Tribolium castaneum: one gene and its partner. The protein of the gene in region 2 purifies or fractionates together with the protein of the main gene of each other region. This does not show direct contact. Links are inferred from orthologs where the notes say so. Each region holds a gene or a part of one and is shown on either strand. Other genes may lie near its edges.

Region 1 (15,724 bases), about 340 kb from region 2:
CATAAAACTTAATTGCAATTAAAATCTTTAAATGCGATGTTGAAATGTGATAGTTTGAGTGACACATTTTAAATTCAGTAACTATAAATAAAATAAAACACTCAAATAATTTATTGCCACGTAATAATTTTGTCTTTAATTTCAATCAATGAAAGTAGCTTGCTCAAAATTTAATGCAAATAAACATTTATTTTTGGTTTCATTTTTATTTTTTTTAATGCTACAAACGGTAGCCAACGTGGAAGCGATATGAAGGTAGGTGTATTTTATTGCTGTGTCGTATTTATTTATTTCACAAACCAATAATTTTATAAAACTTAATTGCAATTAAAATCTTTAAATGCGATGTTGAAAAGTGATAGTTTGAGTGACACATTTTAAATTCAGTAACTATAAATAAAATAAAACACTCAAATAATTTATTGCCACGTAATAATTTTGCCTTGAATTTCAATGAATGAAAGTGGCTTGTTCAAAATTTAATGCAAATAAACATTCATTTTTGGCTTCATTTTTATTATTATTATTTTTAATGCTACAAACGGTAGCCAACGTGGAAGCGATATGAAGGTAGGTGTATTTTATTGCTGTGTCGTATTTATTTATTTCACAAACCAATAATTTTATAAAACTTAATTGCAATTAAAATCTTTAAATGCGATGTTGAAAAGTGATAGTTTGAGTGACACATTTTAAATTCAGTAACTATAAATAAAATAAAACACTCAAATAATTTATTGCCACGTAATAATTTTGCCTTGAATTTCAATGAATGAAAGTGGCTTGTTCAAAATTTAATGCAAATAAACATTCATTTTTGGCTTCATTTTTATTATTATTATTTTTAATGCTACAAACGGTAGCCAACGTGGATGCGATATGAAGGTAGGTGTATTTTATTGCTGTGTCGTATTTATTTATTTCACAAACCAATAATTTTATAAAACTTAATTGCAATTAAAATCTTTAAATGCGATGTTGAAAAGTGATAGTTTGAGTGACACATTTTAAATTCAGTAACTATAAATAAAATAAAACACTCAAATAATTTATTGCCACGTAATAATTTTGCCTTGAATTTCAATGAATGAAAGTGGCTTGCTCAAAATTTAATGCAAATAAACATTTATTTTTGGCTTCATTTTTATTATTATTATTTTTAATGCTACAAACGGTAGCCAACGTGGAAGCGATATGAAGGTAGGTGTATTTTATTGCTGTGTCGTATTTATTTATTTCACAAACCAATAATTTTATAAAACTTAATTGCAATTAAAATCTTTAAATGCGATGTTGAAAAGTGATAGTTTGAGTGACACATTTTAAATTCAGTAACTATAAATAAAATAAAACACTCAAATAATTTATTGCCACGTAATAATTTTATCTTTAATTTCAATCAATGAAAGTGGCTTGCTCAAAATTTAATGCAAATAGACATTTATTTTTGGCTTCATTTTTATTATTATTATTTTTAATGCTACAAACGGTAGCCAACGTGGAAGCGATATGAAGGTAGGTGTATTTTATTGCTGTGTCGTATTTATTTATTTCACAAACCAATAATTTTATAAAACTTAATTGCAATTAAAATCTTTAAATGCGATGTTGAAAAGTGATAGTTTGAGTGACACATTTTAAATTCAGTAACTATAAATAAAATAAAACACTCAAATAATTTATTGCCACGTAATAATTTTATCTTTAATTTCAATGAATGAAAGTGGCTTGCTCAAAATTTAATGCAAATAAACATTCATTTTTGGCTTCATTTTTATTATTATTATTTTTAATGCTACAAACGGTAGCCAACGTGGATGCGATATGAAGGTAGGTGTATTTTATTGCTGTGTCGTATTTATTTATTTCACAAACCAATAATTTTATAAAACTTAATTGCAATTAAAATCTTTAAATGCGATGTTGAAAAGTGATAGTTTGAGTGACACATTTTAAATTCAGTAACTATAAATAAAATAAAACACTCAAATAATTTATTGCCACGTAATAATTTTATCTTTAATTTCAATCAATGAAAGTGGCTTGCTCAAAATTTAATGCAAATAGACATTTATTTTTGGCTTCATTTTTATTATTATTATTTTTAATGCTACAAACGGTAGCCAACGTGGAAGCGATATGAAGGTAGGTGTATTTTATTGCTGTGTCGTATTTATTTATTTCACAAACCAATAATTTTATAAAACTTAATTGCAATTAAAATCTTTAAATGCGATGTTGAAAAGTGATAGTTTGAGTGACACATTTTAAATTCAGTAACTATAAATAAAATAAAACACTCAAATAATTTATTGCCACGTAATAATTTTATCTTTAATTTCAATCAATGAAAGTGGCTTGCTCAAAATTTAATGCAAATAGACATTTATTTTTGGCTTCATTTTTATTATTATTATTTTTAATGCTACAAACGGTAGCCAACGTGGATGCGATATGAAGGTAGGTGTATTTTATTGCTGTGTCGTATTTATTTATTTCACAAACCAATAATTTTATAAAACTTAATTGCAATTAAAATCTTTAAATGCGATGTTGAAAAGTGATAGTTTGAGTGACACATTTTAAATTCAGTAACTATAAATAAAATAAAACACTCAAATAATTTATTGCCACGTAATAATTTTATCATTAATTTCAATCAATGAAAGTGGCTTGCTCAAAATTTAATGCAAATAGACATTTATTTTTGGCTTCATTTTTATTATTATTATTTTTAATGCTACAAACGGTAGCCAACGTGGAAGCGATATGAAGGTAGGTGTATTTTATTGCTGTGTCGTATTTATTTATTTCACAAACCAATAATTTTATAAAACTTAATTGCAATTAAAATCTTTAAATGCGATGTTGAAAAGTGATAGTTTGAGTGACACATTTTAAATTCAGTAACTATAAATAAAATAAAACACTCAAATAATTTATTGCCACGTAATAATTTTATCATTAATTTCAATCAATGAAAGTGGCTTGCTCAAAATTTAATGCAAATAGACATTTATTTTTGGCTTCATTTTTATTATTATTATTTTTAATGCTACAAACGGTAGCCAACGTGGAAGCGATATGAAGGTAGGTGTATTTTATTGCTGTGTCGTATTTATTTATTTCACAAACCAATAATTTTATAAAACTTAATTGCAATTAAAATCTTTAAATGCGGTGTTGAAAAGTGATAGTTTGAGTGACACATTTTAAATTCAGTAACTATAAATAAAATAAAACACTCAAATAATTTATTGCCACGTAATAATTTTATCTTTAATTTCAATGAATGAAAGTGGCTTGCTCAAAATTTAATGCAAATAAACATTTATTTTTGGCTTCATTTTTATTATTATTATTTTTAATGCTACAAACAGTAGCCAACGTGGAAGCGATATGAAGGTAGGTGCATTTATTTACTGAGGTATTGAATTTGATTTGAATTTGAATTGCCACATATTGAAAAGTATTGTGTATTTTTTATTTTGTTTAATATTGACAATCATTGCTTGTTGTAACTTTCATGCAAATAAAGATTTTTATTGGTGTTGTTTTAATTTTTTAAATGTCTTGCTACAAACAGTAGCCAACGCAGAAGCCATATGAAGGTAGGTGCATTTTTTTGCGTTTTATCTTGTGATGTGTTGAATATAATAGCTTGTGTGCCATATATTATACCGTATTGTGTATCCTTTATTCTGTATAATATTTATTAAAGACGCTTGTTGTAACTTTCCTACAAATTAATTTTTTTGTTGGTTGTGTTTTTAATTTATTTTTTAGGTGTGCTACAAATGGTAGCAGATGCAGTACAAAAGGTAAGAGCATTTATTTAACGCAAAGTGAAAAAGGTTTGATTTTTGTGTACTATTTTTTCATTTCACAAACCAATAATTCCTTTATTTCCTTCATTTTCAAATAATCATTGTTTACCTCATCCTTATATCCTTTTTTCCTGGCAAGAATGCTCTAAACCTCCACGTGGTTCTTGCTGGAGAAATTTGTTATTGACTAATTTTTAATTTTTAATTAGTTATTGACTAATTTGACCAATTAGAGCAATCCTTAAATATAACATTGTTGATTGTTTTTTACAGCCGTAAAATTATGTCGCTTGTTGTAATTTTCATGCAAATAAAGATTTTTTCATTGGTGTTGTTTTTAATTTTTTTTAATGCTACAAACGGTAGCCAACGTGGAAGCGATATGAAGGTAGGTGTATTTTATTGCTGTGTCGTATTTATTTATTTCACAAACCAATAATTTCATAAAACTTAATTGCAATTAAAATCTTTAAATGCGGTGTTGAAAAGTGATAGTTTGAGTGACACATTTTAAATTCAGTAACTATAAATAAAATAAAACACTCAAATAATTTATTGCCACGTAATAATTTTGTCTTTAATTTCAATGAATGAAAGTGGCTTGCTCAAAATTTAATGCAAATAAACATTTATTTTTGGCTTCATTTTTATTATTATTATTTTTAATGCTACAAACGGTAGCCAACGTGGAAGCGATATGAAGGTAGGTGTATTTTATTGCTGTGTCGTATTTATTTATTTCACAAACCAACAATTTCATAAAACTTAATTGCAATTAAAATCTTTAAATGCGATGTTGAAAAGTGATAGTTTGAGTGACACATTTTAAATTCAGTAACTATAAATAAAATAAAACACTCAAATAATTTATTGCCACGTAATAATTTTATCTTTAATTTCAATGAATGAAAGTGGCTTGTTCAAAATTTAATGCAAATAGACATTTATTTTTGGCTTCATTTTTATTATTATTATTTTTAATGCTACAAACAGTAGCCAACGTGGAAGCGATATGAAGGTAGGTGCATTTATTTACTGAGGTATTGAATTTGATTTGAATTTGAATTGCCACATATTGAAAAGTATTGTGTATTTTTTATTTTGTTTAATATTGACAATCATTGCTTGTTGTAACTTTCATGCAAATAAAGATTTTTATTGGTGTTGTTTTAATTTTTTAAATGTCTTGCTACAAACAGTAGCCAACGCAGAAGCCATATGAAGGTAGGTGCATTTTTTTGCGTTTTATCTTGTGATGTGTTGAATTTAATAGCTTGTGTGCCATATATTATACCGTATTGTGTATCCTTTATTCTGTATAATATTTATTAAAGACGCTTGTTGTAACTTTCCTACAAATTAATTTTTTTGTTGGTTGTGTTTTTAATTTATTTTTTAGGTTTGCTACAAATGGTAGCAGATGCAGTACAAAAGCTAAGAGCATTTATTTAACGCAAAGTGAAAAAGGTTTGATTTTTGTGTACTATTTTTTCATTTCACAAACCAATAATTCCTTTATTTCCTTCATTTTCAAATAATCATTGTTTACCTCATCCTTATATCCTTTTTTCCTGGCAAGAATGCTCTAAACCTCCACGTGGTTCTTGCTGGACAAATTAGTTATTGACTAATTTTTAATTTTTAATTAGTTATTGACTAATTTGACCAATTAGAGCAATCCTTAAATATAACATTGTTGATTGTTTTTTACAACCGTAAAATTATGTCGCTTGTTGTAATTTTCATGCAAATAAAGATTTTTTCATTGGTGTTGTTTTTAATTTTTTTTAATGCTACAAACGGTAGCCAATGTGGAAGGGATATGAAGGTACGTCCATTTTATTTTTGTGTTGTTGTCTTTTTATTTCACCAACCAATAATTCCTTAAAATTTAATTGCAATTACAATGTTGTGTACACCGGCTCTAAATACGGTGTTGAAAAGTCATTGTTTGAGTGACTCATTCTAAATACAGTAACTATAAATAAATCAAACACTCAAACAATTTATTGCCACGTATTAATTTTGTCTTTAATTTCAATGAATGAAAGTGGCTTGCTCAAAATTTAATGCAAATAAACTTTTTTTTTTTTGGTTTCATTTTTATTATTATTATTTTTTTAATGCTACAAACGGTAGCCAACGTGGAAGCGATATGAAGGTACGTCCATTTTATTTTTGTGTTGTTGTCTTTTTATTTCAGAAACCAATAATTCCTTAAAATTTAATTACAATTACAATGTTGTATACACCGGCTCTAAATGCGGTGTTGAAATTAATAATTTGAGTGCCATTATATATTGAAACGTACTGTGTATTTATTATTTTGTTTAATATTGATAAAAGTAGCTTGTTGTAACTTTGCTACAAACAGTAGCCAACGCAGAAGCGAAATGAAGGTAGGTGCATTTTTTTGTGTTTATCTTGTGAGGTATTGAATTTAATAATTTGTGTACCATATATTATAACGTATTGTGTATTCTTTACTTTGTGTAATATTGATAACAGTTGCTTGTTGTAACTTTAATGCAAATAAAGATTTTTTTAATGGTGGTTTTAATTTCTTATTAATGTTTTGCTACAAACAGTAGCCAACGCAGAAGCAATCCGAAGGTAGGTGTACTATATTTTTGTGTTGTATTTTTTTTTCATTACACAAACCACTAACTCCTTTATTCCCTTTATTTTCTAAAAATCATCGTTTACCTCATCCTTATATCCTTTTTTCCTGGCAAGAATGCTCTAAACCTCCACGTGGTTCTTGCTGGACAAATTAGTTATTAATTTGACTAATTAGAGCAATCCTTAAATACGAGTTTACAAAATCCAGAAATTTTATAAAAATTAAAAAAAAATCGTTAAGGTCCCAAGGGGTGTTTGTCAGAACATGATTGTTTTACGGTCGAAGGCCCTATTGGAGGGCTTAATCTCCTGCAAAAATAAAGAAAATTGGAAGATATAAAGAGAGTGTATTGCTTGAATATGAGAATAAATGCAGAAATTAAATGCAATTAAGTTTTAATTTGTAATAGAAACACATTAGAATGGTCAGGAGATGTTTTACAAATGTGATAAGCAAGTCAGCGTAACAGCTTGTTGACGAATGATTTACGATTATTTTGATAATTTTTCTGGTGTGAACTTGGCTTTAGAAAATGAGTATGGTGGGCGCAGCAATTGTCTGGTCGACTGTAATGTTCATAGTACCTGCATCATTTTTGGTGCTATCTTCACCGACATTGGTAATGTGACGTTTAGAAATGACACTGACAGATTGAGGTTAAAAATATGCCAAAATCGACCTAAAAATAGGAGTGTGTGATGTTTTAAAGACTGATTCATGTAATTGCTTGTCTCTCGGTTGATTTGAGCTCTAAAATAATGTCAACGAACTCCAATTATAAAATGCTGTGCAATGAAATTGCAAGTATACGTTGTCCAAGTGAACAATTGAAAATCCTGAAGGAGAGGTACCAAACTGTGATCAACTCTAACAGAAGGTTGGAGAACATAAGGTCGCTGTCAGAGCTAATTAAAGTTTTGGAAAAACGAAATTATCTCAACTCTAGTAACACCCAGGCTTTGAGTGACATAGCTAGTGAGTTTAAACAACCGGAAGTGTTACACAGTCTCAGAAATGTTCAAATTGAAGACAATCACGTTAATTGCAACGCTTGTAATAGTCATAGTCCAGAGGAATACTCAGGTAGTCGCCTCACTTTACTGTAATTATAATGCAAAAATGTGAATTTAGGTTTTGTTAGAATACCAAAAAGTACCAAGGATAGGGTGTACAAATGCATAGCCGAGGGAATCGGCCAAAAATGGACCGACTTTGCTCGGGCTTTGGGCATCCCTGAGGGCGACATAGACGACTTAAACACTGTGAGGAGCACATCAGCTAGGGCCTACAAGATTTTGGCTTTTCACGAACAAAACTGTGATAGATATAGGTGGCGTAGTAAATTATTGGAAGCTTTAACGGACGCAAGGCGGAAGGACCTCAGATTGAAAGTGCAGGATATATTCGATTTTCCATAATTTATAATTGTTAACGAGCTGTTGTTATTTTTATAAAAATATAAAGTTCAAACAAGTGTCTCGTCTTTAATTATATACAAACGCAACAATATCCTGGCATACAAAACGAGATTAATAAAGTAGAAAATGAAATAAATATATTCAAATAAACCATGGGAAATCAATACCAATACGAACATTCTCAAAACGAAAACATTTCAACGGTTACTCTAATTAAACGGTGTATGAATTCTTGGTAACGGAACCAGACTTGTCCTGAGTGTCTTTGTGGATTTGGTATCCTAAAACCGTCCTTGGCGGTATATGCAGCCGCTCCTTCAGTTTTTTGCCGATTTCGATGACAGCCGCGCTTTTTGTGGCGTCGGAAGTCCAGACCCCTGAAATCAACAAATCGAAGTGACCCATGACTTGTTAAGTTGGCAACAATTACTACCCAATATCGCCAACCTAGATTAGTCACCTACCGATCTTATCACCCTTTCCTCGAATATTGACTACCGCCCCGCAGATTTCATCCGAATGCTCGAACGCTTCCCCAATTAGACACAAGATCTGAAGGAGGTCAAGTGTGAAATTTAATCGGACGTTATGCAAGAACTTACAATATCAAGCCAGTACCGGTCAAGCTCGTTGGTCCTCTGTTTCTTGTCTAAGTTAATAAGCCAACGCCCCCCGCGTTTGTTCGCTTCATCCTCCCACATGGGCCTGATGCCCCTCTTGAACAGGGAATAGTCGTTCCCTTGTCTCAGCTCACTTGCGGGCTTAATGTGATTGTATAAACTGAAATTTGCCACAAGTAGCACTCATCACCGTGTCCTGAACACAATAACTACCTCCAGAAGTCCTCAACGGTCTGAAACGAGGCGATTTCCTTCTGGTTCTTCTCCCACGTCTGGCTCCTGTCATTCTCGTAGTACCAAAGTGTCCAGCAGTTTTGGAGCGGGTGTTTGATGGAAAAATCCTGCGCGATGTCTATGTCGTTCTCAGTCTTTAGGTCGTTTTTTTCGTTCTGTGGCGAAGCAACACAAAAAATTACAAGGGATGGTCATGTGAATGCAATATGGCAGAATTGCCGGGGCTGTGACAAATCTTGGAAAATATCAACAATTACCGATTGAAACATGACCCAAAGTTTTTATAGTTGGATTAGCAGGGCCTTACCTCGCTTTCTATCGAATTTGAAGACATTTTCTTAAAGTAATTCGCTAATCAGCGCGATGAAAGTTGGTTGCTTTTCCACCTATCACCGATTCTGTGCCAACTTTGTAAAATGAAGGAAACCGGCCGGTTGCATAGTGCCACACCAACAGCGGGATTTTCAAATACCAAACTTAAGCAGATTCAAAAAAACTTCCTTAAATACAAGCAAACGTTTATTTTAAAATGTACCAAAAATCATAAAAACTCGCCAAAAGTGCGAATTAAAATAGCCATTTTATAAATTTAAACAATTGATATATGTATATAATGTGTTGCCTACCCTGTCAGTGTCCAAATTAGATGATTTGTAGGCTTAAATAGCAGGTGGATAATTTTCCTATTGACCGTTATTAACTATACATATGAATTGCCTGTCATGTTATGTTACAATTTTGTAATCGTGCGATACTGAACCCATTAATCGACCATCTTTCTAGTACAGGCAACCAAATATACGCAGCAATTAAGCAATCTTTTTTGAAATGTAGGTTTCAAATCTGATATCCAAATTTAGAAGTTTTCATTTTAGAGCAGTAATAGAGCTTATGAAAAATGCGGAAAGTTCTAATATAATCAATCACAAAAACTTGAGCTGGTAGGAAAAATCTGTCGGTAATTTTAAAATCAGTCCAACAGTTAACAACAGCAAAAAATCAGGGCACAAAGAAGTAAACCAAAAAATAGGTGCATTTTTCAAATAAATTCTAATATTAGTTACCTACCTATATCTCAAAAGACTAGATCTGATAGAAAAATTCTGGTGGCTGTTTCAAAAACAGCAACCAACAGCAAAAAAATCTAAGCAAAGAGAAATAATTAAAAGTGGTGTCCGTTTAATTAAAAAAACTAACATTAAGTTCTCTTATCTCAAAAACTAGAGCTGATAAAAAAAATCTGTTGGCAGTTTCCAAATCAGCGTCCAACAATTACAAAACAACAGCAAAAAAATCTAAAACAACAAATATGTAACCTAATGTCTTAGTTTTTCTACCCCCATAACCCTCATCTGCATGGGTTCAGACATGTACCTATTCTGCATACAGCGTTGGCCAAAAGTATGGAACCAAGCGATTTGTGCTTAAACTATGTACCTTACGAAAAAACTAATTAGTACATCATTAATTACATTTAATTATAACAAGTAAAGCGCCTGGCGCCTGCCTTGTAGCCGCCTGTTGCATTTATTTTATTTTTTTATTTATTATATTTACACTATTTGGTCAAACGGACGAATTGTAGTTTTTCGTGTAAAATAAATAAATAAAATAAAAATACATATAAATTTTGTTGTTTTTTTTATAAACAAAAGTTGTACAGTAAAACCTCCCTTAATGGACACTTCCGTCTAGCGGACACCTGTTTACAACAAACATTTTTGTAGGAACATAACAAAAGTTACAACAGACCCACTGTATAGCTGACGCCGACAAAAAATCTCCAATTACCACATATATAAATTTACCTGTTACAACGAACAGACGAAAGAGTAGCTCAAAAAAACAAAATTTGTTTTATAAACCATGTAGAAATAGATGAGAAATTATATATAAAAAATCCAGATTTATTTATGAATAAGTGACGAAAAGATGAAAATAATAGTATAATAATAAATAATGGCAGAACTTGCCTTAGCACTCATTGTCTGAGACATTTGAAGTTGTTCAAAAAATAGCTAAAATTATGTCTTGTAAACAACCAAACAATTAAAAAATAAACAAAAAAACTGTTTATTTCCTTATTTAATTTTAATTAAAAAAGATTTCTACTTATATAAACATGATTAAAAAAATTAAAGAATGAATACATTCTAAAAAACACGTTTGCGTGTTAGATTGCGATTTTAGCAGATCCAATAAACCTTTTCTGTAAGCACTGTCTGTCAGAGTCAGAGTTTCATCTATTTGTTGATTTAAAAAAAATAATTGTTTATATTAAAAGTGACCACCTTTTATTAGCGAACACCTCTCCACAACGGACAATTAAAGATTCCCAACGGTGTCCGTTGTTGAGAGGTTTTACTGTATTGTAAATTTATCATATAATTATAAGTAATAAAAAAAACTATGCAGATAAGAGATAATGGCTTCGCTAAATTTTGTGGCCTGTACTTTAATAACAGTGTTACGGGTTTTTGACCAATCAGAAGATCCTATGATATGACAAACACGGGGCAACTTGTGGCCAATAGAAATGTAACGACATGACAGCAATTATTATAGATTGCCTTGAGCGTTTGACACTAGTCTGACGTTTAAAATCAACTCCAACATTTTAAAGCAACTTATAATTTTTATTATGACCGCTCAAATCATAGAAAAAAAAAAGTGTGTACAGCTCGCATTTAACTCGTACGAGTTAAGTATTTAGTATTTTGTGGCAATCATTAATAAAATACCATGAAACAAAAAACCTTGATTCAATAATTTTTATTAATTAAGGAAAATCAACGAAAAACTATTGTTCTGTTGGCTAAATAACGACTAAGATGAGAGTCTTTGTTTTCTTTCAGATATTTATTGTGGAATTAAATATAACAATATCCCTAAAGCAAAGCCCTGTACTTGTATTTAAAAGCATAACAAATTTTTAACAATCCAAATTTACCAATACGTACATTTTACAACTGAAAGTTAAACTCTAAACGAATATTATGTATGTTTATTTATCAATATTAATAGTAACATTTCTGTTAATGAAGCATTTAGATAGAATTTACTGAAAAACAGTAACTAGAAATTAGGAAAATAATAATAAAAAATTAATCTAACTACTCAAATAGCACCAAAGTTGCTCATTTCATAAATGCTATGAAGCTGTGTACATTATCTACAATAGTAATAATAATATACAATAAAAAATTGTCAAAACACTTACATTAACAGTTAAGAAGCAATAACAACCGTAATTTATAACAAATATATATGTTTAATATTCATGGGTCTCTACTACTAAATTTTTAAGGCAACTGTTTGGATAGGGCACAGCTTCCTTGATCCTCGACGTACTGTCATTGCACGAATCAAGGAAGCTGTGGTGTAATGTCAAAATTTAGAATATCCTACGTCCCAATCAACTCTGACGTCATGTTATAATATGGCAAACAAAAATAAATCCTCCAAAAATAAATACATTTACTCTAAAAACAGCGTATCCTCGTTTTTTTTTGTATTTTTCTTTTATGTTTTTTTCGGTGGTGTAAGATGTGTGTGTGTGTAGTGTGTGCGTGTCACGGTGCTATGGTCACTGATTAAAAAAAAACAGAAATCTGTAAAATCTACATCAACTTTTGCTTGGCGCATTCGGGACAGATGATGTCTTCCTGGTCGGTGATGAAGCCACGGCCCACTAGACTGGTGCGGCACGAGGCGCAGAAGAAGCAGTCGTTGTGCCAATGCCTGTCCTCGAACGAGATGAACTTCGTGCCCCCGATGCCGGTGATGGGCTTATTGCAGGCGAAGCACCGTTTGGCGAACAGCTCGCCGAAGCACTCGGCGCAATAGGGCTTCTCGTCGCGGCTGGTGAAGCGCTCGCCCGCCAGGCTCTTGGAGCAGTGGGTGCAGGTGAAGCACTCCCTGTGCCAGGGCTCGTTCTTGTACGTCACGCCGCCGCTGGTGATGACCTTGTTGCATTTGATGCAACGCGTGGCGAATTTCTCTTCGTAACACTTGGCACAGTAGATCTCTTGCTCGCGAGGAATGAAACTCTGGGTACCGATCGGTACTTTGCATACGCAACAGCAGAAGCACTTCTCGTGCCATTGCCTCGTCTTGTATTCCATCTTCTTTGTTCCTGAAAAGCACAGTGTTAATGCGATATGTGGATAGCAAGTTGATGGTTGAAGTTTTTGCTGGCACGTTACGTGGACTTGAGATATTTAGTCCAGTGACTCAATAAGATTTTACCAAAAGAAAAATAAGAGCGAACTGTAAGATAAATGAGTTGTATCTTCATAAAAACGTGAATTCGATACATAACTTGGCAAATCGTTGCAATAATTATTCCTTCTGCGATTATTTAGTTGCTCTTGCACTTTAAATATACTCTAAAAATTGGCATTTTGTCGAAAAATTTGCGGCAATGGCACTGATCTGTGAGAAAATGTAAAACTGCGTCGTAACAACTTAAATCGAAAGAATAATTACACAAAAATTTACAGCAGAAATTATGAATGAGATGTTTGAACAATTCCTATAAAATTGAAATGCTCTCCTGGTTTTTGAAAAAACAAATAAAAATAAACTTTGTTCATTAAACTTAACAAATATTTCCTTCTTTTTTTTAAGAAATTGTAGTATATCAGATAATAAATTTTGAGGTGCTGCCATAGAGTAGGCCTTTGAAGAGATGTGAAATTATAAGTATTATAAGTATAAAAAATCTTCGAAATTACGATGGCTTGTACATTAAAAAAAATCAAAAAAATACAAACACATTCAAAAGATCGATCCGAAAATATCTGAAACTTTTTTCAGGATGCTTCGATAACAGTTCAAATAATTTATAAAAACTGCCTCTTGAATAGTCTTTGGCTAATAATGGGATTAACCCAAAATCGCTTGTTTTTTGATTTCTGCCTAATCATTAATAAATTTGGTGTCAAACATGCAGTTTTAATAACACTCATTTTGACACTGCAACTATTTGGTCGCTAAATGTGCAAGGTGCAAATTTGTTACTGTTATAATACAGACTGATCCAGAAACACTGTATTAGCACAGATATTAGCAATTTTTTAAACTACATATTCTCAAAAACCAAAAAAAAAACTTTATTAGTAACAAAAATATGAAAATAAGTTCTTAAACTTTTATCTAAAAATACAATGTGTTCAAAAATGCTTGTTCATCAAGTCACCTTTGCAATGTGCCGCCTAATTTAAATTGTGAATACCGTCAAAGTGACAGATCCGTCAAAATAATGTAAAAATACTTCAAATTTAAGAGAATACATAACAACAAAAATCGCGGAAATATAAAACACAAATCAAGACAAACCCTACACTTAAAAAAACTTTGCCGAAAAGTGCCAAAAAGTGAGTAAAAAGCTAGTTCAAAGACTTGACAGAAAAATTACGATAGTCATTTGAATGATTTTAAATTTCATAGTCAACTTGATGAACAACCATTATTGAATACATTGTAAATCAATCAGTGACAGAACAAATGAACTAAATTTCAAGGAGTATAGTTAAAGTTGAAACGGTTGCCTCAAAGCTTAATCTACCCTTTCTTAAAACAGTTTTGAAATGATTTTTTTTGACTGTTCTTATTCGAATTTGTTCCTAGTTTATTTTTTTCATCTCTAAATTTTCTTAAATTACTGGTTTACTGACATTTTTTTTTCAAAATAAACGTCAAGTTCTTTTGTGAATATTAAAATTACCTGGAATGAATTTGTTGGTGGTACCAACGTTGCAACATTGAACATTTCTGTTTAATTAAAAAAAAAAACAGATTTTACTATATAAAAAGTAAATTTAGCATCACCCAGAAACGCTTTCAAAATTATTTACGTTAATATCATGCAAGCACTGCCCCTTTAATTCGGAATTAAAAACAAAAAAATGCTATAACGTTACCAACAGAAATTATAAGTGTTTGAAACAGTTTTAAAAATTTTATTTGAAAACAATTATATGTATTACTTCGTGTCATAGATTACAGGTATTTACTGAAGTAGGAATGCAATTGCGACAAACAAAACAAATCGCATTTTTCCATAATACCACTTTATTACCACCAAAAGATTAGACGCTTGTATAACATTTTTTAAAGAATGTTATATCATCTTGCTGGCAAATACAAAACCAAGGCTACACCTTTTCCAATTGTAGTTCAGAACGTATTGTATTACGAGCAGATTAATGTCAGAAAGTATCAAATGTATTTCAGAAAAAAATGTAGTTTTTACAAATGAAATTGGCACAGTCAGTAGAGATTCGGAAATAAATTTCTAGTTATTTAACAAAAGAAAAACATTTTCTTTATGATATAAAGGACATTAAAGGAAAATTCGAACCTCGGCAATTTTCAAAGACTAGATTTTTTACAGCGAGTAAAATTTTTAATTACCGGAAACATAACTACACACTGTATTTCATAATTTGTGTGTAGTATATTTCCTTCCTCCACAGTCTATTTATATTAAAGATTTAAAACACACAGGATGTTCGCGAAGTAGTAAAAGATAACGAAAATTAAAAAAAATCTTTTTTTTTAATTTTGGGAGCCGATCCTGTTCAGATTTAAAAAATCAAAGAACCATTGGCGGTAATCAACAAAAAGTATTACAACTGTCATATAATTAGTCGGGAGAGCTCACAATTACAGTGATACTGATAACAGATTTAGTGCAATTGGTATGGACAATGCAGATGCGGTATTCAGAGAGAATAAATATAAGAATATATAAATGTAAAAATAATAACAATAATATAAGAATAATAAAAGTAACATTATTACTGAAAATCTTGGTATCTATAGTAGTGTGGTAGATTATTTTGAAGCGCTCATCTTTATGGCTCATCTTAAAGCGGTAGAAGCGGATTCAAAATTTTAGAAAATTTAAAAATTGTAAAATTAGTTATTAAAGATAAAACATTTATTTGGTCTAAATCAAATTAAAAATTCATGTGCTCAAAACGTCTTGGATTTTTT
Region 2 (17,269 bases):
CAAATTCTATTGCGATTAGGATTGTTAAATAACGTTGCCATATATCATTTATTTTTATTTAAAGTTCCTTATTCACCAATATATTTAAGACAGATTTTTTTACTATTTTTACCTTTATATAAAAACATTCCTCCACCATACCACATTGAGTTGGTGCGCTAATTTTTGAGCATTCTGTATTTAATTAATTACACAGACTTAATTATAATATCACACCAGAAATTCAATTTGCTATACAGATTACATTTTTTGCTTGGTTTTAGTTCGGATTCTTAAGTGAATAACCCTGTATAATAATTTTGTTTTAGAAATCTCTGGAAAATCAATCTGGCATTTCAGAATTTTTTTTTTTTGAATTGACCACTGTTCCCAAAGCTTTCATAAATTTTACAACCCTAATCTGCAAGCAGAAATATTCTCCTGAGATAGAAAAAAAATTCTTCGATTTTAGTGCATTTTTTAAACAAAAACTTTCTTTCTTTCTGTTTCTTTAACCAAAATCGCAGCGTTCTGAAAAATATGAAACGGAACACAAATTCTAAACAAAAAAAATCATCCCAAACAATGTTGTTTGTATTTAATTGTCAGTAGGCCTTGACAATATTAAAAAAAAGCAAGTAGTACGTCGTACTGCTTTCCAATACCAGGGAAAGCAAAATTTATTTTTTTTTCTATAGCAGGTGTTAAACTACAATGTGTTCAAAAATGGTTGTTCATCAAGCCGACTTGATGTCGGCAAAGTTGTTTCAAGTGTATAGGGTTTGTCTTGATTTGTGTTTTACATTTCCGTGATTTTTGTTGTTTTTTGTTCATTTGTTTTTAGCATTTTTGCATTATTTTGACGTATCTGTCACTTTCACTTTCATAGGTGACTTGATGAACAATCATTTCTGAACAGTGTGTATTTCTTTTTTTATCAACTCTTTTGAGTAAATAAAACAGCACTTTAACCGCAAGGGTAGATAAAATGTTTTAATTAAAATAAATATATTTTATTCAATTAAAATTACCAATTTCCAACATATTAATATGAGGGATTAACAGATTAACAATAACTTTTTTCTTAAACTTCGTTAGTATTATACACGACGTTAAAGATTGTTTATCTGCTCGTCAAATAAGTCCATTCCTAAGTTCCGTCATTCTTGAACATAAATTCTTTTCACTCGTAGATAAACAATTTCTTTATCGTCTTGTTTAATAAATATTTTCTCATGCCTGTGACGGAAATTTTAGTCGTTTCTCAGTTTATTAAGAAGCCGCACCAAATTTTTGACGACAAAAAATCGAGTTAGTTTGTAATCTCATTTTGTCTATTAGTTAGTTAGGCTTTGATTCTAAAATAAAGTTGTTACCTACTTATTTTTTTAATGCATTTTACGTCGAATCATTTAAATTGGTCGGTTTATGGAAGCCTTATTAATAACCATTAATTTAATTTATTCAATCAGCATTAATTGAAAAATCACGTGACTGAATCGAACCAACCAGATCTCACATTCACGACTAATGACAAATTAACTTTTAACTACACATTGAATTTTAAGTTTTTCAAGTTGCATAAAGATAGTAGTAAATTTTGATTGTGAGATTGGTACAAGAAGTAATTATTTATTTCAAAAAAAAAAAAAAATAAGGAAAAAATACATCTTAATGTGTTCAAAGTTCAAACCCATTTTACACCCATTTTTTCGAACGATGATGGTTTATTAGAAGTAATTATTTCTCAACTAACTTTTATTTTTTAATAACTTGGCGAAAATAAACATGACTTCGTAATATTACATGAACCATCTGCTTGTATTTACCTTTTGTGCTAAAAACAATATCAAAAACCTCTTACGGCCGCCACTGTAAACACAAAGAACAAAAAATAGTATTTTAATTAATAAATCACTCCATGGCGTAAATCCTGGTCCAGTCCTTGGCCCTGATGATGGCTTCACTGGTCCTTGTTTTCCAAGTGTAAGCCACATCGTTGGCCAAAGGGTCGTCTGGATTCGGACTACTCAGCAAGGCTTGAATCGAGAGCAAAACGGTGCGAATTTGCAAAGCCGGCGACCACTGCTCTTTCAAAATATCCAGACAAATCCTCCCCAATTTGTCAATATTCGGATGATAGATTTTGGTCAAGAAGCGCACGTTTGGAGGCGTTAGGGGGTAGTTTTCGGGGAGGAACAGCTCGAGTCGGAAGAGACCGCCTTCGTAGGGGGATCCCTGAGGACCGGCCATCACGATGTGGAAGTAACGGCAGTTTTCATCGTCCGGGATAGCACTAATGCCAGGAGGCGGGTCTTTGGAGAGGTTCTTCGTTTCAACGAGGATGCGGCGAGTTGTGCCGTTTGCCATGATCTGGAATTTGGGTTAGGGGGTTTGGAGGCTTGGGGGAACTCAATGGAGGGGAATTACTGGAGTTTAGGGGGTGCTAGGCATTGTGACAGGTGACAGGTGTCAAATTCTCTTCGAAGGATTGATTTTTGGCTTCTTTATTAAGCTGGTGTTTTTGTAATGAACAATGAACAATAATAATAATGATTACGCAAAAAACGCGTTATCTAATGCTCTCCTGATTCTATAAGGAATATTAGTTATTCATTTCTCTTGGAACCGCAGTTATGTTTTAACATTTTAACCATTATTTCCCATTTCATTTCATAGTAGAATTTTGCAACAGAGCGCATTTGAAATAAAGCTCAAATATCAGAAAAGAGTTCTGTGTTGGCGATAAATTTTGAGCCAAGAAAACCCACCAGAAACTCTCAATTCGCGCTTGATATCGTCCCAAAAATGCAAATTAATGCGTTGTTGCAAAATTCTACTATAAACTGAAATGGGATACCATTTTTTATTTGTAATTTATTTTAATTTCGAATTTAATTTAATTCAATCACCAAATTTGCTGCTCTCTTTACCACCTTCTAATTCTAAAACTTATTACTGATTCAATACATCTTTTGAGAACTTTTTAAAGTCACCAACACAAAGTTATACACTAAAATTATTTCAACTATACAACAGTTTCATTTCCTTTGCGTCCACTCAAATGTTCGTTTTCCAATTCTGCATCGAATGATGAAAAATAAATAGTGGTTTCCATTTAAGATTGAAAAACTTATTGGAAGTAAATTATGAACACTCTGTAGCAATTCAGATCAATCAAACTTAATTAGTAAGTCTCTTGGACCTTGTTCAACACGCACTTTGTAATAATTTCATTCAAAAAGCTCGGTTTCCTTTATTATTATTATTGTTATATTATTATTATTATTATTATTATTATTATTATTATTATTATTATTATTATTATTATTATTATTGTTATTATTGTTATTATATTATTATTATTATTGTTATTATATTATTATTATTATTATTATTATTATTATTATTATTATTATTTCCTAATTTTTTAAATTAAAGATGTAAAACCATTTTTTTTGCAGCGATATGAAAAAACTTTAGGGACAGGTAAGAAACTAAAGGGGTATCTTAATGATCGCAAAAAGTAATAGCATGCCGTTAAAAAAAGTATCCATGAAATAAACCCACACAATAAAGGCGCACAAGAAGAAAGTCTACAGAAAAAGCCCACACAGAAAAAAACTCACACCGAAAAATATTCATACGGAAAAAAACACATAGAAAAAAACATACAAACACAAAAGCCCACCCAGAATGAAAAAAGACCATTCAGAAAAAAAACTCACATGAATAAAAGCCCCACTGTCCAAAAAGCTCACGGAAAAATTAATTCACTGGAAAAAAAGCACTTTCTGCAGTCGTCGATACATTTATAAAAATTATAATTATTCGGATAACAATAAAAATATTTTAGAATCATTTTTTGTTACAATTCTATTAAAGAAAAGAGTAAATTAGTATAATGAAAAGGGATACTGTGCAATTTTTTAGACAAAGACATCTTATTTTTATTTGTTGTGATTTTTTTCTTTTAGTTATAAATTTAAAATTTTGGAAAAATTATCACGGCTTTTCAACGTCTAGCTTGACCTAAACTGAGTGATCTGTCCGCATCTATCATTCTTTTCGCATTAATTTGTTGAATTGTTAAAGTGATGTAGGGGAGAGTAGAGTAAAATGATCCCAAAAATCAAGAAAACTAGTAGTAGTAAGGTAACATTATTTTCTGGCCAAAAAGTAGTATACGTAGTAAGAAAAGAAAAATCTGGTCAAATAAAATAGAACTGCACAATCTGATACACTTTAATGTGTATCTTAGTTGTTTTATTAATACAGCTAGCATAATCTAATGCAATTTTCAATTAGGTGTAACTGTTTTTTCAACTACATAGAATTCTCTTAAAAGATAAATAGCACAAAACAATTTTTAGTGCAAAATTTTAAAATTTTGCGCCAATTATTGTTTGCACGATGAGTCAATTATAATTTCTCAATTCTCAGCGTGAATTATGCAGAACTTATCACAACATCTTTCTGACCCTGAAGCCACCAACTACGACCTTCAGAACTCTATTTACATTCCCATCATCGATAAAGACTACCAGTTTTCAAGCTACTGTTAAAATGTTAAAAACAACTGTGATTTCTTTACTTTTGATTGGTGTAACACGAGCTGAAACCATTTCTTTCAAAAATGTAACACTGGAATGGAAAACAAGCACAGATCGTAACACCACAACCATTCCATCATCAGCCAACCTTCGAGACAACATCCCAAAGCTTCAGACCGAGATTTCGGTGGTTTTGAGTGGTTTAGTGCCTGTTTTATACCCAAAATCAGTGAGTGGTGTACCAACTTTAAAATCACTAACAGTATCAAACGTCGGCTTGAGAGAAATAAAACCAGGAGCGATTGAAAATTTACCACTTCTGGCCCATTTGATTTTAAATCGCAATGAGCTCAAAGTTATTGAACGAGGAACTTTCACAAACTTAAACCTGACAAGTGTGAATTTAGGTGACAATGAAATTTCCAAACTCGAACTTGGGGCTTTCAAAAACCTCAAAATTCACCATCTCACACTCAGTAACAACAAAATTTCTGAGATTCGAAACGGGACTTTTGAAAACGTCTCACTCCAAAGCTTGAATTTGTACGGAAATGGGCTCCGAAAAATCGACGGACCAATCACAAACTTAACAAATCTGGTCCTGAGCAACAACAATTTGACCGAAATCGATTTGCATTTCCCTGATTTAAAATATCTCGACTTGAGTTTCAATTCCATTCAAGTTCTAAAGCCCGGAGACTTGAAAAATCTTCCCGCACTGGACACGTTGGACCTCACCGCTAATACCCTTCACCACGTCCCTGAAGGTGTCTTCAGTCAGTCGAAACTGGTAACTTTGAAACTAAATTACAACCAAATCGCGAAAATCGAACCCAAGTCATTCGACGACATGTCTCAGCTCAGTGTTTTGCACATCGACCACAACAACTTAACCCAATGGGATGACAAATGGTTGAGTAATTCCCCCAAGTTGGCCTACATTTTCGCCGGTTTTAACCGAATTGGAGCTTTGCCGGGCCAAGCCTTCCGGAATTATCCCCAAATGTACAGCATTGATTTGCAAGGAAATTTGATTAAAGAAGTTTCACGGGAAAGTTTCGCGGGGTTGGAGAAAGTGGTGAATTTTAGTTTGAGGGATAATTTGATTGTGGATTTGGACCCAGAATGGCTGGCTAATGCGACGGTGGGAAGTGTGGATTTGAGTGGAAATAAGCTGGGGTGTGTGGAGGGAAATTTAGAGGAGGCTTTCAGAAGGGTGGACTTTGTGCATCTGGAGGGGAATCCCTGGCGGGAGGATTGTGTGGAAAAGATTAAAACATTTCTTTCCCAGTGGCCAAAAATAAAACGCATTGTTAGTTCTGTGTCACAACAACCAATTTGATCTAATATTGATTAAAAACTTTGTTTGTAGTTTTATTGTTGTCCCAGAGCGAAATTATTAAATTTACCGCCTGTTTGAATGGCGTTCTACACGATTGCGTCCTATGTTTAGTAGGATATTTTCTGTTTTGATTAAGAATTTAATTAAAGTATTAACGTAAAAAATTAAATTTTGTTGTTCCAAATCAATTCGCAGCCAATTTATCGATATCGCAGTCATCTTTTTATTGATTTACTGTTTGGCTCATGTCCTTTGATTAAAACCTAGGGATTTTTCGCATGGATGCCATCACGGGGAAGTCCCTTGTTGAGTTACGTGTTTTAATCAGTTTATCGAATTAATTGTTATTTAAAACCAACGACAATGGGTGGATTGTTTTCAAGCCAAGGAAATGATTATTCCGACGATTCGTGTTCCGAAGAGGAAAGCAACGAGGTGTCGTGCAAAAATCAACCTACCTTTGGTAAATTTGTTTATCAACTTTTGATCTCAAGTGTCATTTTTTGCAACATAACCCCACTTTTTGTTACGTATTTAATTCCAGTAATTTAGTATTAATTTGAGCGATGTTTTAGATGAGGACAATTGTTTGGACTCCACTGACACCATAGACGCCAGTTTATCGCAACCAGCGATGCCAATAACGCTAAATGTGGACCAAGTTATGTCCATTGAAAACGACTTGGATGACTACGAGAAGGTAGTTATTTCTGGGAGCTATCCTTTAATAAAGAATGGTTACAGGTGGCCCTTGTGTTTTTGATTTACGAAGACCCCAAATCTGCGTTTGTTCAACTAACGAAATTGCTCCAAGGGTCCCATGACAAACTCTTGTATAATTGGGCAATTCATGAGAACTTAGCCGGTCGGAAGTGGCAAGAAAAGCTGGTTGAGGCACTTTGCATCATCCAGAATTACCAAATCATATCAAGTTTGGGCTTCAAACGGGAGGATTTAACCGCTCGGTTTTTACCGCACCACATTTTCACGTACGCCTATGTGAACAAAGTCAGAAAGGCCCTCTATTTCGTCTGCGAGGCGTTGCAGCAGAAGGACGTTGAGAATTTGCTCAACTTGGCGTGTAAGGACTTCAGGGAGAAGGGGCTGGATTTTAAGTGCATTAATGCGCAATTTTTGGAGTTGTATTTGCTGCATTGGGAGACTGTGGGGTACGTAAAACTGGACGATTTGAGTAATTTGTGTAGAGTTCTCAAGCAAATTGACCAGTTGGATATTTGTGATAAACTGAGAGAAATTGTGCCAATTGTGCACAAATCTGCTGAGAGTAGAAGTGTAGATAAAAGAGTAGATTCTAGTGAGAGTGAAAAAAGACAGTCAGTGAGTGTGTTTGAGGGAATTTTAGATCCAAAGTCCAGTTTGCTTAGTCTGGCCTCGCTGGAGACGTCGCATATCAGTGCAGACAATGCAGCTTTTGTCAGCGATGAAAATAAATATTTTATTGATCCAGAAAGACCTGGCATTTGTTTGATCATCAATCAAGAGAATTTCTACAGAGAAGTGGACAGAAAATATCGAGTAAGTTGGGGGAGAGGTGTTTTGTACCATGCTCTCAAAATTTCTGATCAAAAATTGACAAAAGAAAAAAATATGTAAGGTTCTAAGGAGTAACTGTTGATTTGTCATTGTTTTTTATAGTTAAAAGACCTTTAATTAAGCTCTGTTTTCTGCAAAAATTACGAAAATCCTTGTAGGGATTGTCACTTGCATTTGTCTTGCCAAGGTATTTTGAGAAAACAAAAAAAAATTATTAATGCGTTAAGCAGTGATTGTAAGTTCATCATTTTTTTACAACCAAAGGGTGTTTTAAGAAAATATGCTTGGAAAAAATACTGTTTGCTTGTGAAAACTTAAGAAGAGTAGGTAATAAAAAAAATTACAATTGTATGTTCTTTCTAAATCCAATCTTAATTATTATCTCTCAGACTAGTTGATATCTCGTATTAAATATTTGTAACCAAGCATTAACGAGGTAAAAACTAAAAATAATTTTAGAGTTTTTATAAAAAATAAACGTTTAAATGAAAAAATGAAATGAAACTGTATGCTGTTTTCTAAATAAAATAATAAATGGGCGGTCTATTTCCAACAGGTAACATCTCTAGCTTTACTTAACTTTTCAGGAAACGAGTGAAACGTTTCCTGAAAATAAAATAAAATAATAAAAGTAAGGATAAGAATTTAAGTATAAGGTTTTCATAATTTTGATTAGCATAAGTTAATGCAAAAGAAATGCATATTTCTGTATTAATAAAGACAAGGACAAGCTTACAAAATTAAGCGAATGCTTCTGCTAATTGTTTGACTTATCAAATTATAGACAACTGGAGGCAAAAATAAAAGCTGCAGCCATATACAGAGCTTAATATGTATTTTTTATACAATTTGCAATAATTTAATAACTTATTTTTTAAAGTAAACAAGTGTAAAGTAAACAAAATCATAATATAATAGTCCTCAAAAGTACTCACATTCACATTATTTTCAATTATTATTTTTTGCAGGCTAAGAACTTTTAAATTCATAAATATAAAAGATTTTTTGTTTCATCTGTTTTTGAAGTAAAGGCGTTAATAGATGAAGATCTAACATGTCGCGGTGGAAATTTTTTAAGAGTATTCCATATTGAGGGAAACTCTTCTTGTATTCTTCTGCTGAATTAGCTCCATTCTATTCCATTAGGAATTTTTGTTAATGTAGGATTAGGTATTCCCCTATAAAAGTTTCATAGCTTTATTTTTTTATTGCCAGTTACATTTTTATCTGTTTTTTTTTTATATATAGCAGTATGTATGTTTATCAATTATTTTGTAATAATTTTACTATAACTAAAAATTCGGATTCTTTTTTCTCACGCAAAGATTCATGATAAGATGAGAAATCCCGAGGCATTCTACAATGGTATAATTAATAATTATTCTAACTGTAGAGTATTTTATTTTGCATCTTTTACGTGTCTTCCTTCTCTTATGAAATCCTTAAACCAGAAATTAAATTCAATTTACTTGAAGGAAGTGATACTTCAAGTTTTTTAAGTGACACACAAGAGACAAACAATTCCTTAGAATCATAAGCAAATGCTTTAAGTAAAAGCATTTTATTAATACCACCCATTAATCCAGTCTTTCCGAGTCATTTATTTGATCAGAAATTTAGTAGAAAGCACTTCGTAATGTTTCTTCATTACTAGCACTTGCTTCCACGCCGGGACAACAAATTAGAACTTAGGATTGGTACACAATACGACCGAGACAAGCTTGAAGCCACTTTCCGACAATTTGGTTTCAAAACTATTGTAGAAAATAATCTCACTCATTTGGAAATGCTACGAAAAATAGAAGAAGTAGTGCAAAGCGTTAACGATGAGTCGAGCCTTTTCATTTCTATAATGTCTCATGGTGATGTAGGTTGGTTGATTTATTTTCCTTGTGATGCAGTTATTTATCTTTTATCTCTATTAGGTGTCGTTTACGGCGTTAATAGTTGCCAAGTCGACGTCAAAGCAATTAAACGTGTGATGTGTACCAAAAATCGCCCACATTTATCGGGGAAACCCAAAGTTTTAATCCTCCAGTCTTGTCAAGGCACCAGATGTCAAAAAAGTACGATTGGTTGATTCTTGTAACTTTATAAAAATTTATTTTTATTGTATTAGTTCAGTCAGATGACGATGACATTGAAACAGACGGTCCTTCGTCACCTGTCCAAGAATCAGTCCCGCCAATAGCAGATTTGTTCACTTTCTGGGCCACAGTTCCAGGCTATGGTGCAATAAGGAACAAAAAAACAGGATCCTGGTTTATTCAGTCCTTGTGCGGAAAAATGAAAGAATTGGGGCATAAGTACCATTTCGATGATATCTGCACCAGTGTTATAGGGGACGTAAGTAGGAAAAAATGGTGCCAAGAGAAGGACGAAGTGGCAATGGTGCCAGAAAAGGAGTCCACATTCAGGAAACTGTTTTATCTGCCACCCGTTAGAGTGTAAGTTTTTAAAAAATTATTAAGCAATATGATTTTTAAATTAAGTTGGTGACACTGAAAAACTGAAAAATGTTGCTAACTTAATTTCAATTATATTTAATTTTTTTAATGAAAACTCAAATAATTTTTGTTCAAAAAATAAACCAAAAAATTCGAAAACAGTCTTTTATTAACTCATAAAAACAGTGCATTTAATACTGACTAATTGCGACCTAATCAAGTCTAACTGTCTGCTTTTCGGTAATCTCTCTTTGAGCTCAGCCAACTCGCTAATCCAATAGCGATGTATATCACACTAATAGCGATATGGAAAATCCCATATACGAAATACTGATTTCGGGGGCCTAGGGCAAAGCCCACCCCTTTAGTGACCACAACCATCGTCAAAATCGACTGAAACGCCAACGCAACAAACGTATTAATTCCAAAAACCAGCCCATAACTGTCCTCCTTAATGCATTTGGCGATTTCAGCGCTGGCTATCGTAATCATAAAGTGGTAAAGCCCCCCAAAGGCTATATAACAGATATAACTCAAAATAACGTATTTAGTTCGCGACGTATAAAGCAGAATGAATCCGCTCATCAGCGAGCACAGCGTCAGAGCCAACTCGCCCTTCATTTTCCAATCCACCCTCAGAACGCCGGCCAGCAGCGCCCCCATGAACCCCAGTACGGTCAGGACCGACTCAACAGCCCCGTTGTAAATGGGGATAGTCGGGTCGTCCTGAATCGTGTTCCACAGCACTTGCATGTAGCACTGGACTTGGATGAAGCCGCACGTGGAGAGGGCCCACCAGAAGGACCATTTCAGGACGTAGCGGTTGGAGAAGGACTCCACCAGGTGCGTTTTCATCAGAGTGAAAGCGTTGAGGAATTTTCGCGAGTAGCGCTCGTCGATTTCCCGGTGGAAGTAGATGGTTTTTCGGACGGAAGGCAGGAAGAGGCTCCAGAGGGTGGCCGCCAGCATGGACGAGAAGGTGATGTAGTTCAAGTCGCGATAGGTCGCGCTGTCGAGCGAGATGAGCAATTGGGCCACGATGCCGGAGATGGCGCGGCCAGCGAGGATGGCAGCCCTGGTGTGCGAAGTCACCTGCTGGTAAAACTCTTTGGGGACTTTGGCGTAGATGTAGGTGTAGTAGGCCACCTCCGTGGCCATGAACGTGCCATAGAAGACCTGTTAGTTGTGCAATAGTTACATCACAAGTTGCAAAAGGGAAAATTTCCACTCAAATACGCAATTATAATATTCCATTGTGAACACAAATTAGCCCAATTAAAATATATTCACTTAACACAGATTAGAGACCTGCTCACTGCTATAGAATTTATAATTGGAGTAGGCAGATTTTTATGATCGTTAAACTATAGCGCAAACTGAGGGAAAAATGTATTCCGATTGAATCTAAACATTACTATTTGACTCTTCAGCTTGATCAGTTACTATAATCGGCGTTTTCATTCAAGTTAAAAAACTAATAAAGCCGACCCTAATTATAAATTCAAATAATCACATGGTGATTAAAGTAGCAGCTACTTTATTTGTTCCCTTGAATCAAAATTTTCTGAGATAAACGTGATTTTTCTAATTACCGTTTTCTAATTACCTTATTTCTACCAATTCCCGAAAAGTGGTTAAAAAATAAAATAAACTGTTTTTTGTAAAGACTCGAAATAGAAAAATAGTGTTAAATAAATACTGCTGTGAAGGAAAAATTTAGTTTTAATACAGGGTATTTCAATTTTTAGTGCCAGTCAAAAAATAAATACTTCTAGTTGCCCAGAATAAAAAAATTATATCGGCAACAATAGAGTTTCTAATACGCTTCAGTTTGATGCGTATAAGCGTAAAATGCAAAAAACTATTTTAATTTTTTTTTGTTTCCAAATTATTGAAATCGTTTTCTCATAATAAAACTCTTTTTTTGTGAGAATTCCGAAATTGATATAATAAAAAACTTAAGGCGATTTGCGCAAATGAAATTTTAATGTGGTTAAGATTTTAATTCCTGACTCCAAAAAATTTAAGCACACTGTTGGCATTTTTTTTTAGTTTTGAAACATACATTACTAAAGAACAACTCGTCAGACTACATACCACACAAGTTTTATTGTAAATAACTATTTTTAGCCGCTTTTCGCGAACTGACAAACATTATTTTGACCTAATTAATACTAATAAATTGTAAATACTTTACAGTAATTTATAAAAAAACAACTTTATCTTACAAAACTTTGATTTAGAGAACAAATCGGTTAGCTGTTGGATTTAAAACGCCAAAGAAATGACGAATATTAGGACTAAATTGCTAAATTCTAATTAATCTCAAGCGATTTAAATTATAAAGAAGCTATTTTTTCGTGAAATTAATTAATTCTTTAATTATTTACCATATTTGGACCTCGAAATATTTGCAAAAAAATTAAGCTCCAAACCTAGAGAAGACGGACGCCACTGCCCATGATTTTTTTTACATTAACTGTAACTTTGTTTTCTTTCACCAAAAACTTATTTGAACTATTAACTTCATTTCGTCTCGACTGTCTCTTAAAATAAAAAACTTTCTCCTATCTTGAAAAGCTCGCTACATAAAAAAATATGCTACAAGAAAATTTTTAATTTTTTAGTTTCTTTTGTATACTACGTTAAAATGTATATTTACTGGAGAATCTTTTGCACAAACAAAGTTGCTAGCTTTATGCAGAAGGAAGAGATGTAAACAAAAAATTTGTCCAATTTTAGTTTTTTCTAAATTTTTTGCTTTACGTTTAATTAGGTATCCTAAACTCTGTTAATTTGAATAATTGCAAAAAAGTCAAGAGAACATTTTTATGTAAAATTTTATTCTTTACAATTTTTATTCAAAACTTTTTTCTTGTTCTAACCAATTTTGAATATGTACTAATTTAAAAAAACACTATTTTCGAAAAATTGTTTACTTCACAATAATAACTTATATCAAAAATGTAAGCTTATGCTCAACATTTTGATTTAAAGGGTTATTTATTTCACTGGACTAAATTACACGAACTGAGATTATGTAATTGCCACGATTGTTTTTCACAATAATAAAAGTATTTTCGCCACAATAGTTGATTTTTCTCTTGGTTTTGGGGCCGAGCGGCCCCTCTGCTTAGCCCTAGCCCCAATTAGCACGACTGTGTGGCTTTTTTAAGGATTTGCGAATTGAGGTTATGTAATTCTTGGGTCCATTTTTGCCAATAAAAAGTATAATAGCGCTAGTTATCGCAATTATGGATTATTTTTGGATAGAGCAGCCCCTCGGCGCCTGAAATGAAATATATGATGCAACTGAGCTACATTTGAGGTTATGTCTCTTATCAGTGGCGCCTAATTTGAATTTTTTTGCTACCAGCTAAATCGAGAGCTAAAAATTTCATGCTTGATCGGTCTTACTTCAAGGACTTGTAGTTCGAAGAGGCTCTTGGTCCACAGTAGCATGCTCCATACCACCACCCCCGAGAGTCCCAACAGGACAATCAAAGGTTTGTACCTGCACAGGTCGGTAATGAGGAAGGCCACAATCGATTGGGCCAAGTAACTGTATGTTCCCACTGGATAGACTTGTTCGGTGACTTCCTCCTTGCTGACATTCCTCCAAGGCCCCACCAAGAACTCGTAAACGAAGGGTTCGGACGGTCTGATCTCCTTCAGAAAGCCAAAAATCGACAAAAGGAGCGAAATTTTGAACCAATCGTTCATCGCGGCGATTTCGATTTAAATTAAGTACCAATAGCCACAGTCGGAGACACAGCAAAGTAACATGACCTCTGTTTTTCGGACGTTTTATTACATCACACCATCAGTCAGCGATTTCGCCTATTCAGGGGTTAACAAGCTTCAAGTTACACGCATTATTTAAAGCAATTTGTGCAATATTACTGAATCGAAGGTTATTTAACATTGTGAGTGGGGACCTCGGCGCGTGTTTACCCGAGCTTATCGTATGTTTTTGGCGAATTACGCATCCTTAAACCGTATCGCTAAAACAAACCCAATAAAATCATGTTTATTGAACAAATTTTCCCAAAAGTTGTAAACCGATTTGAAAAGCCCGCGCCGGATGCGATTGGCTACAGCTGTTCCAAGGTTACGTCTTCAACTTTCTAGCGACCGAGCGCCATCTGGCCCAGCTTTTCCGAACCAATTTTCAAGTGTTGTCTTTGGGGCCGTATTTTTCAAAATTGGTTAAGTTTGCGTGTGTGGGGCTCCCCGAACTTGGGGTTTGTTGAATGGGGCGCCTTTTTGGCGGGCTCTTAATTGACGAAGAGGGCGGGAAAGTGTGCCAGAGAAGTTAACGAGTTCAGTGGTAATCCGGCCATGTTTATTGCAGACAGAAACTGGAAAGTAGGCTTCGCGTTTGTGTATTGTTTTGAGTGAAAATTTTCAATTTTTCCGACTTGATGTGGTTTATGTGACTATTTTGAGGAGCATGGAGTCAACAGATAGAGGTATGTTATTCATTTTTGCCCAGATTTAGACACACTGTGAGGGATTCCAGACACAAAGGGCAATGGCAAAGTCAGGGTCGAACTATTTGGTTCACTGACCGCATTTACAACACGACCCCAAATTTACACACAAACCGAAAAAAAAACACAAAACAAGCCAAAACACACGCCAAATTCACCGAAACGACTCGAAAAACCCCCGAAATTTTAATTTCTTGATCCAAAAAAATGTTTCCATTACTCCACCAAAAGTCCCATAGAACATAAACCGGGTCCTAAGAACAATTTTCCCAAATTTCACTTTTGTATTAAAAAAAAACAAGAATCTAAATATTGTAGATTTCTTTCCGAGCAACAAGTGCCAGAAGATCCGGACAGGTGTCGCAACCAGTCAAGATAATTAATTCCCGCTGGCTCGAATTCCCACCCGTTCAAATAATTTTCCTGACCTGACCTGATTGCTGTATCGAGCTGACAGCCTTGACCTAAAATCGGAGCTGCGAAGGTCACCCTACCCTTTAATAAATTTTGATTTATCGAAATGAGATTCAAACTTTTTACAATTCAGATGTGATCGAGCAAAAAACGGAGATAAGTGCGATAAATTCGTTAAAAGATGATTGCGCAAAATATATTACAAACAAATGAATAGGCATGAAGATTGTCTATTGTTTCGTTTGTTGGTGGTTTTTCGTTCATGTTTTATAAATTTTATTTTCGATGTCGTCCTTGGGATTTGACAAGGTGATGGTAAATATAAATCTGGAAATGTTTCTGCTTCATTTGACTTGCCGAAACGTTTAATTAATTACAGTACGACATTCCAATTAAATATTTTTGGAGAGTAATTTCTCGTTTCTACGTTTCGGAGTGATGCTTTTAGCGTCACAATTAGTTAATTAAAGGTAAATTAAGTAATAACTGTCCAATAAACTCTTGCTTCTTTGAGTCGATAACATCAAAAAACACAATGTTGTAAAAGATTGTACATCATTGACCTTACCCGAGTGTTTTTTGCTTGGCATTGGGTTTAATTGACAATTTAATAATGGAAATGATTATTTAAGACTGATAAATGTGTTACTATAGTTGAGCTAATTTCGGATGAATAAACTTATCGTGATTGTTATCAATTTTTTATTCAATTTTCGTAATGTTACGAAATTTATTGAATGATCGTTTTTATGCTAGAATTTTATCTTGTGAGTTTAAATAGTCTTGTTTTATTACATGAAAGAGTCAATTTGAAGGGAGAAACAGAATGTTTAAACAGAGGTGACCTATTTCCGTGATCACGAACATCGAAGGACGGACAGTTTATCAAAAAGTTTATCTGTGTTACAAAAAAACTCGACACGATTTATTATTTTTTAAATTAATTGTTGAAAATAAGTGCAGTTGTAAATTTTACGACCAGCGATTTTAAACTGACAAGAGGCAGTTTCTTTAACTTTGAATTTTATTGTACAACTTTATATTCAAATGGTGATGCTAACTTTACTGCCATAAAACTTTTATCGAGTCTTTAGAGTGTGTGTGACATTTTTTGCTATAGTATTTTGGAATGTGTTGCGATTTTCTTTATACAAAAGAAGAAATCTTCTCAAAAACAGGGTTTCTGTGATTAATTCTTTATCGAATTGATAATTTTGCCATCATTTTAATAAAAATTATAAATTTTTGGGAGAAAGGAAGAGAAAAATACCAATTTTTTGGACTTCGTTCAGCCAGAAATCAGAAACGTAATTGTTTCGCCAAATGTAACCAAAAATACGCCGAAAATGGTGTTACTTTTTTATGTGAGATTTTATTGAAATGGAAAAAAGTTTTTGCGACCGTTTTAGCACGTTACCAGAAATGCGATTAGATTTTTTAAATAATTCAGTTCAAAATAAGTCGAAAAGTCGTTTATGGCGTCGTTTATAATTTATAACGTTTATAGTTTTGTCTTTTTTTCGAAAAACACCTGAAAGTTTACTTTGCTGGATCGAAAAGTACATTACTTTGCCCGTTTTTAGCACATTTTCAGTACGAAACTTGGTTTAGTAAAATTACACCAAAAATTAATCGAAAAATTGGGAAATTAGTACAAAAATGAAGCAGTTGTTGCATTTTTTGAGCATTTAACATAGTACTGAGAAAAAAATGCAGTTTTGTTTTTACAAATTCTGCGTTATACAGGGTTATTAAAAATTCTTGCAGCAACTCTTGGGTAGTAAATAAAGGATATCAAACTGATTTAAAAGTTTCTATGACAAAAAATTGTTTGAGCCTTTTTTCACGAGTTATAGCTCTTTAAAGTTAGATTTTTTGGTTGACAAAAACAACCCTTTTTTTAAATATAAAAAATTGCAAGATAATATAGGAGTACAAAAGGGAATGTTTACCTACAGTTGTTTAAGTAATTTTAATAAAAATTTCTGGACGTTAAAATAACTTCAAAATATAAAATACTTTCTTCTTTTACATTTCTAGAATCTTCCTATAATATTTTATTAAGTAATAATAATTTATTTATTAATTTATTATTGAATGTGCACTAAAAAGACTAAAAAATCACCAAATCGTGAAAAAATAGTGTTTTTTAACTTTTTTGACCCCTTAGACACATTTTTACATTTTTGAGCTAAAAATTCAGTTTTTGTGAAAGTTTGAAAGATCACAAAACTATCAAAAATTTCGGCGTTATGTTTGGATTTTCACTCAAAAACGCAAGTATTTTGCTAAAAATATACCAAAAAAATCACCGTGTATCAAAACTTTATTTTTACTTTTTGCAAACGAGTGTGTATACATTTTTCAGTATGACAATCGTTTATATTTTACAAAATTTCCATAAAAATTGCCGAAAAAAATTGAAACCGGAAATAGAATTTAGTAATTAGAAAAAATGACACTTCCTTCTCAGATTTTTAGTAAATT

The links.
Region 1: the proteins of Dredd (region 2) and uncharacterized protein LOC103312947 purify together in Drosophila melanogaster (affinity purification with western blotting; 5 studies listed by BioGRID, with this or other methods). This does not show direct contact. The link is inferred for Tribolium castaneum from reciprocal best matches to the Drosophila melanogaster genes Dredd and Fadd.

The regions. Positions count from the first base shown.
Region 1 is NC_087398.1:10,605,697-10,621,420, reverse strand, and holds uncharacterized protein LOC103312947, read left to right. Parts: upstream 1-7,045; 5' UTR 7,046-7,208; coding exon 7,209-7,533; intron 7,534-7,581; coding exon 7,582-7,868; 3' UTR 7,869-7,924; downstream 7,925-15,724. Other genes in the region: eukaryotic translation initiation factor 4E-1A, read right to left, coding at 8,082-8,245, 8,333-8,420, 8,471-8,648, 8,702-8,877, 9,030-9,056; Lmpt (prickle planar cell polarity protein 3-B), read right to left, coding at 12,343-12,857.
Region 2 is NC_087398.1:10,949,567-10,966,835, reverse strand, and holds Dredd (caspase-8), read left to right. Parts: upstream 1-6,125; 5' UTR 6,126-6,237; coding exon 6,238-6,337; intron 6,338-6,346; exon of another isoform or gene 6,347-6,399; intron 6,400-6,449; coding exon 6,450-6,574; intron 6,575-6,618; coding exon 6,619-7,410; intron 7,411-9,082; coding exon 9,083-9,299; intron 9,300-9,353; coding exon 9,354-9,494; intron 9,495-9,547; coding exon 9,548-9,875; intron 9,876-10,514; coding exon 10,515-10,581; 3' UTR 10,582-11,175; downstream 11,176-17,269. Other genes in the region: ubiquitin-conjugating enzyme E2 N, read right to left, coding at 1,894-2,349; leucine-rich repeat-containing protein 15, read left to right, coding at 4,546-5,874; thiamine transporter 1, read right to left, coding at 13,135-13,164, 13,293-13,598. UniProt on the Drosophila melanogaster protein: Effector of the programmed cell death (PCD) activators rpr, grim and hid. May play an apoptotic role in the germline as well as soma. Fadd interacts with Dredd to promote cleavage of Dredd and is necessary and sufficient for enhancing Dredd-induced apoptosis.